Oryzias latipes: one gene and its partner. The protein of the gene in region 1 purifies or fractionates together with the protein of each later gene. This does not show direct contact. Links are inferred from orthologs where the notes say so. Each region holds a gene or a part of one and is shown on either strand. Other genes may lie near its edges.

The links.
Region 2: the proteins of kdm5a (region 1) and phf12 purify together in Homo sapiens (affinity purification with mass spectrometry; 3 studies listed by BioGRID and IntAct, with this or other methods). This does not show direct contact. The link is inferred for Oryzias latipes from reciprocal best matches to the Homo sapiens genes KDM5A and PHF12.

The regions. Positions count from the first base shown.
Region 1 is NC_019881.2:6,890,381-6,894,034, reverse strand, and holds part of kdm5a (lysine-specific demethylase 5A), read right to left. Parts: intron 2,924-3,654; coding exon 2,773-2,923; intron 2,690-2,772; coding exon 2,569-2,689; intron 2,490-2,568; coding exon 2,313-2,489; intron 1,862-2,312; coding exon 1,683-1,861; intron 1,181-1,682; coding exon 862-1,180; intron 750-861; coding exon 189-749; intron 109-188; coding exon 1-108. UniProt on the Homo sapiens protein: Histone demethylase that specifically demethylates 'Lys-4' of histone H3, thereby playing a central role in histone code. Does not demethylate histone H3 'Lys-9', H3 'Lys-27', H3 'Lys-36', H3 'Lys-79' or H4 'Lys-20'.
Region 2 is NC_019871.2:27,109,717-27,113,370, forward strand, and holds part of phf12 (PHD finger protein 12), read right to left. Parts: intron 3,495-3,654; coding exon 3,050-3,494; intron 1,947-3,049; coding exon 1,826-1,946; intron 1,751-1,825; coding exon 1,618-1,750; intron 1,084-1,617; coding exon 919-1,083; intron 51-918; coding exon 1-50.

The DNA of each region.
Region 1 (3,654 bases):
CTCCGTTTTTTCGCGCGCTGCCTGCTCCACCATCCGCTGGCTGAGGACGGACAACTTCGCCAGCGCCGAGGACAGCTCCTCTGTAGCCAGAGATTGGCGCGCTCGATCCTGAAAGAGGAAAACGAGCTTTCAAAAAAAAAAAAAGAAAAACTATACAAATTAAAGACGGCAAATGTTTAGGTTTTGACCTGCCAGCTCATCGCCCTCTCAGTCAGACACTGCAGCGCCTCTCCCTCTGGGAGGCGCACTGGCAGCTTCTGTAGTGAAACCAGCAGGGACAGGATGGTCTCTAGTCTGGGTCTCCTTGAGCGCTGACACAGCGGGCACAGGAATTTTGACTCCTTGGTGTTGCTCTGCCAAGACACGCCCACTTTTTTTGGGGTTCCCGTCTTGGGCAGGGGCACACACGCTCCGTGGAACCAGTCTTTACAAAGCTCACACTGCAGCATGAAGCCGCTGGCCGTCTTGCGACACAGGCAGAACTTGACCTCCTCGATGCGGTCCGCCATCGCCATCTTTGCTAAGTTGGCGGCCCGGAGGGAGTGGATGGCCTCCACTTCCTTCTGTTCTTTGGCTTTGAAAGCCGCCACGACGGTGGACGGCTCGCGCACTTCTTCGAGGCTTTCCTCCAGGTCGCTGAGAGCGTCAGGATCGAAGCCTCCTCTCTCCTTCTCCATCAGCTCCTTCACTCGCTTCCTCTTGCTCTTGCTGTTGCCGTATATCCCGATATCCACTCGAGGACTGAGAACCTAAAAGAAACAATTCTAGATTATATAGTGATCCTGGATTTGCATGCTAGAGGCAAAAATCTCTTCTTATTTCTGTGACTTTTTTTTATTTCAAGAACATGAAGCTGCTCGCCTGAATCAGAGTGTAGGTGGAGTTCTTCTTCAGGAAGGTGCGAGCCGTCCTCTCTCTCCAGGCTCGGGCCGCAGCCACCTGAGACTCCACCTGAGCCAGCGGGTCCAGACGGACGGGGATGGAGCGACCCCTGGCCAGCAGGTTCTCCAGCTGCTCCAGGTAGGCGAAGCTGCTCCCAGAGTGAATGGCTTCCACCTTAGCCGTCCACTCCTTGGCCTTCTGCAGAGCGTCTCGCAGGGCTAAAATGTTGGGGAGATACGCCGGGATGTTCCTGGCCTCCACCACGATGCTCTCCAGGGTGGCCATGCTGTGGCGAGGTCTGAGTTTCCAAGAGGACAGACAGAGGGGCCAGGATGTTATTTTGAAGTTCAGAGCGACTATAAAGGCTTACATTCTGTTAACCAAAATATTATTTTTTTTTATAATCATATGTTTTTTTTTGGCTTTATGTTGCCATCAGTCAGAAACTATCCAACTTGTTGATTTTTAATAAAAGCAGGAGACAAAACCTGTATCCCCCCCCTCAAAATCAACACTTTAATGCATTTGAACCATTGACTTTATATAAGAACTGGACTGGGTGACCCCTCCCCTCTCAAATTCTAAACAGGAAGTACCCGCCGTCTCCAAGAAGCCAGAATCCCATAGACTATATTCTGTTGAGACTGTAAACAGCTATTACTCAGTCATCATATTTGTCACAATACCAATTCTTGCTCTGATACATTTTTTTTAAACTCGTTTGACAAAGATTTTCTATCATAGTTGCCTTTCACGATAAAAGCTTGGAAATGTGGCCTGAGTCGGTTCTGGCTGTTTACCTGGCCTGCAGACAGGCGCGGGCCTTATCCTCCCACCTCTCCGACACCGTGAGGACCTCCTGCAGCTCGGCCATGGCCTTCTCCACCGCGTGGTGAGGAGCGAGGCCGACCCCAGAGTCTATCAGCCTCTTCATCAGCTCCAGCGTGACCCGCTGGGGCTCAGCCAGAGTGACGTGGACCTGCGATTTAAGAAAAGAAAAACAGATTTGAGACAGAAAAACAAAGCTCTGAAGACCCACTCCAATCAAACTGGTGTTTGTGGTATTTCTAACATGTTCAGGTGTTTTTCTCATGATGGAGGACATATGCAAAGAAAATAAAGCTTTAAGTTGAATTTCTTTATATTTTCTTAATCAAATCGTTGTAAATCAGGATTTTGGCTACATGACAGCATAATCAATCAATCAAAAAGAAGACTGGGAATGCTTCTGAAACTGACGATCAGATCGGGACTTTAAGCTTGGGATCCATTAGAACTATAAAGGCACAACTTGAAGTGAAACAAACTAACGTAAAAAAAACAACAAAGTGATTTATTTGGTTTCCACTCCAGAACTCTTCCTCCACACATTTATGTATTTGTGAGTAGAAACGAGCGGCGAGAGCCACATCCGACGGAGGCGGCCTCACCTGGTCGAGCCAGCGGGCTTGCTGCAGCTGCTGCTTGATTCGGGGCAGCTCCGGCAGCTCCACATCCAGCCCACTGCCCAGGTCCAACAGCGCCTGCAGCTTGGAAGAATCCGGCATCTCCTCCGACAGAGCCACCTGGGCTCGCTCGTGGAAGTCCTCCACGTTCTCCAGCAGCTCCTGATGGCACAAAAACCGATCACAGGAAATGGATCGCAGGATCACAGAGTAAAACAGAATACTGAAGGAAGAGCCTAACTTTGACTTGTCGCGCCTGGCTGATGACACACGGCAGCTTGAACAGTTGGTCCACAAAGGCTTTGAGCTCGTCCACCGTCAGTTTGGTGCGATTCCGGCTGCTCTCTGAGCGGAGACGGCTGCTGGAGAAAGCGAGCAGGAAAACCAAGGCATCAAAAGTTGTTTTCAAACTTTCTCGTGAGCTTCTGTTCCCGCGGTAACAGACCTGTGCCTCTGCTTGCGGCTGAGTAACAGCTGAGCCACGGAGGAGCACGTCTCCGCCTCCTTCACGATCTCCTTCAGGCGGCGGAACGAAGCGTTCTCCGGATACTTCCTGTCCTCCGCGTCCTCCAGCAAAACCTTGAGCTCAATCAGATCTGAGGAACAAACCAAACACGTCACCACAAATACAGACTGGTTTATCAGGCCAGTTGACATGTTGGGTTAAAGTATTGAGGCTTTATTTATAAAACTACTGCCACTGATTTAAAAAAGATTTGTCTCAGATTAAAGGTTTTTGCTGTGAAATGATACAGACTGATTTTTTTCAGAACCAGCCAAAATACCTCAATAATATCAAGTATCATAAGAATAATTTTAATCTAATTCCTACTTTGATTCCTAAGGGATTGGTTTCCAAGCGAGGACCAGTTTAATATTAAGGAAGGTTTTTATGGACTGATTCTTAAAGACTCCAGAGAAAATTGTGTTTGTTTTTTACATTTTTCTTATGTTGGAGGATATATATGTATTTAAAATTAAGCTTAAAATTGCATTTCTGAGTATTTCCTCATTCAAATATTTTCCTGAACTGGGACCACAAGCCCCCCTGAGCTCTAAGCAGTCTCTGCTGATGAATTCCTGCTAATATGCAGAAATTATGGCCAAGAAAACAACAAAAATTCCCTTTTTTCAATTCCCTTCTAAAAAAAGTCGATTTTTAAATGTATAAATACAGACTGAGCCTTGGACAAAAATGTCACCTTAATTTTATGTTGGAGGGCTTTTTGCTGACTTTTACTTGGGTTCACTTTTGTTAGTTTGTTTACTTTTATCCCTGTTTTACTGGAATTTACCTGCTTTAGACTCCCTGTGCCACTCTGTCTCT
Region 2 (3,654 bases), on another chromosome or scaffold:
AGCAGCATGGGAGGAGGATTCTGGTACTGCGACTTAATGGCATCGGGGACCTGGTACAAAAAAAACCCATCATTTGTCATTTTATTACTAAGCTTTGACAGAGTAAGAAAAACGCTCACATTAAGAGCCAACATAGGATGTCAATGCTTGGTCCATGACGATGGTACGGTCCGTGCACTTACATTGTTTAGCATAACAACACTGACACATTTTTAGTATGAATTTGTTGACAAAAAACATTCATGAGCATCACGTTACATGTTTACAAGTCTATAGTTCTGCTATGACTGTAAAGGCAACAGTGTTTTGACAGTTTACCTTTACATTTACACCAAAAAGATGAATGCTCCTCTTTTCTCCTCACTACTGGAAAGTGACATGTAAGCATAAATGTTTCCTCACAGTTCCTAGCAGACAACTTTAAAAGACCTCCCAGTTAACTAAAGGTGAACAGCAGGAACAAAGAGGCATCACAGGTTTGCTAGTCATCTTTTTGTTCAAGAACACCACTCGACGTCAAAGTTACCGCCTCCATTCCGTTTATTTTTTAAACTTTTGGGCTTTGTATGCTAGCCAATCACGACAGTTGACGAGTCCCAATGCTTTTAATTGACCAGACTACAACACCAGAAAAAGTTGAGGTACAAAATGAATTCCTTTATTCGTGCCTCCAACAATTGCTTTAAGTTGAGCAAAAACGTAAGTATTTTTTCTCTCTGGGCCTGAACCGCTTTCCTCTTTCTGAATTCGTTTTTAGTAAAATCCTGACTTACAAGTTTTTGTGAGCTGCTGTGAGTTAAAAAAATTTTTTTAAATGAAAAACAAATGTTGGATATTGTGTGTAGGAAAATATCGGTCCAAAGAAAAGAAAGCTCCACGTTTGGGAATCTCCAATCGTTCCCATCGACTCTCACTTACCTTGATGGTTTTCTTGATCAGCTGGGAAAAAGCGCGTCGATTTGGTGCGTTCTGCCGATGGATTCTACGAAGGAAGTCCAACTTGACTGCATGTTGGGACATCCTGTCCTGGAATTGGTCAAAGAGCTGACAGCGCCTGGACAGACTCAGGCTCCTCTGATTGAGCTGTTTAGTAAACAGAAGACTTCATATTAAATTGATATACGTTTACTATAGGCTTAAAGGGCCTTTATCATGCTTTTCAGAATAAACTATATAATAATATATTCCCTTTGGCACACTAAAGAACGAAAGAGAACACGGGAACTTTTGCAAAGATGGATGTTCATATAAAGCAGATGACTGGAAAGTATTTAGCCGGTCAGTGTGTGTGTGTGTGTGTGTGTGTGTGTGTTAGCCTGGGGGTGGTGCTGGCAGCGCAGACTCTTCCTGGAAAGGGCGGTTCTTCACGTTGTGATGTCACAATGTGAGAAGCTGCTCGTTTCCGTGGACCGGGAGAGGCTGGTGCTCAGAGAGCAGGATTTTAGATGAAAACTCCCGAATGCGTGACTGGATCAAAGTGTTTTTTGTGAGGAGTGAACATTTTAATACACTTAAAAAGTTGGTTTTGCATGATAAAGGCCCCTTCAATCTCATTTGATCATTAAATTTGTCCAAATCCTATTTAGAGACAAAAGGAAAGAGACCGGGGAATCTTACCGCTATATTCTCAACATGATTTGGACACATCCACCTGCCAGCAGGTAAGCCTGTAAGTGGGGGGTCAAGGCAGTCCATATGAAAGAGAAGTGGGCAATAATCACACTGGATCAGTGGAGCTAACCTGCAACTCCTATGGCAGAAAATACAGCACTATTAGTACAAACAACCCAGAGCAGTTTTGTCCTCACATGAACTGGAAACTCACTTGTTGCATAAAAAGCAGACTTTCACCGGAAGAGGGACGAGGCCGTTAGTATCCAGCTCGTGTTGAGGCCTCCGGAAGGGCTTTCCCAGAAGCTCCTCTTTTCTCCTCCGTTTACTGCTGCCTGGAAAGCAGTTTGAAAGGTGAAAAGTAATGTAAGAAGATGTTGACTGAAGACCGAAGCCGTCGATCTGTACGGTGGCCCTGAAGTGCAAGTCACTTCAACTAATTCACTGGATGCAAAAACATTTGAAAGATCACAACCACAAAAAACAAATATTAAAGAAAACAGCTTTACATTTTAGAAAGCAAAACAAAATTCCAGAAACGGAAAATAGAAAAACGGAGAAAACTAAAGTAATTTCCAGAAAACCAAAAAACAAACAAAAAAAAGTGAGAAAAACGAAACGGAATGAGAAATTGGAAAAGGTAGGTACTATGGGACATCGCTGGTTAGATACTGACGTTTGTCCATATTTAACAGTCAAAGTTATTAGACATGAAGTGATAATGGACATCATCATCATCATCCAGCCAGCCATGTCCCATAATAACCACCTTTTCTGGCTTCTCATTGGGTTTTTTTCAATAACAGTTCATTTTCATTTGATCAGAAACACAAACAAGAAAGAAAAATAATTATGATTTACAATTTCTGTAAAAAATGAGTGATCGTCGTTTTTAAAGTATTCTGCAGCCGTTGCTGCTTTCACCATAGCTGCTTTGTAAACTGCTGTTCCACTGAACATCGGGAGCCTTTGGCCCCACGTGGAGCTTAGGACCTGCATGTCGTTCTAAACTGTTGTATTTTATGCACACGCACGTACGCACGCGCACATACACACTTAAACCCAAACAAATACATGTCAAGAGAACACTAATTTAATCTCAAATAAATTCTGTTATGGCTCCATCTACTGGCTACACTAAAGAACTACAGGCCTTCCAGGAACACTGTACCACTTTAAAGTAGTTTGGTGTCACCATTGTGTTCAAAAAGGCACGACATTCAATTCAGAAAATATTTGTTTGTTGTTGAAAAGATGCCATAAATGGAAGAAACTTTAGTCAGACAAGTGCTGGAGACCCCTGGATAACACAGATTGCTTCAGACAAATGTAATACGTCTGAACAATGACATTTTGGTTAAGCAATCAGATGCAATCATTAGTTCTTTCAGCAATCAGACAAGCAAGTGTCAGATCTAACTGTGATGTTATGACTCACCTGGAAGAGCAGTGGTGCAAGTGAGCTCACTTGGCAACTGAAACTGCGTGGGATTTCGCTCCATAGCAGCAGCTATTAGGAGCTGGAAGGGCCTCTTGAGGAGGCGCGGCGTTGGGGCTAATACAGGGGCAGCTTCAAACTCTGCTCCCTGGAAATCCTCCTCAGGCTCGACCGTCTCGTCCTCCCCATCATTCTGATCCTCGGAGAGAGTCGGGGTAGATGAGGTGTTTGATGTAGGAGTGCCAGGCCTGCTGCAAGTCTTACGGTCCAGAAGGCGGACCTGGGCCACCCTCAACCCGGGGCCCGCAGCACCAGCTCCTGGGGGAAGTCCGTCAAGCCGCAGTGGGCCAGCACTGAGCTCCAGCTCCACAGCGGGAGACGAAGAGCATTTAGACAGAGACTTTTCCGGCAGGCCGTTAGTCTGCTCAGACTTCTGGTCCCGCTTCTGCCAAAAACAAACAAAAACAAACCATCAGCAGAGGCTCATGGATGCTTTCTGGGTTCATTCATTAGGATGAGACATGGATAATTAACGCTCCTCATGTTTTAAATCACAAATACAACACTAACCTGTACAAGCTCAACAATTGACTGAACAGCTGTAA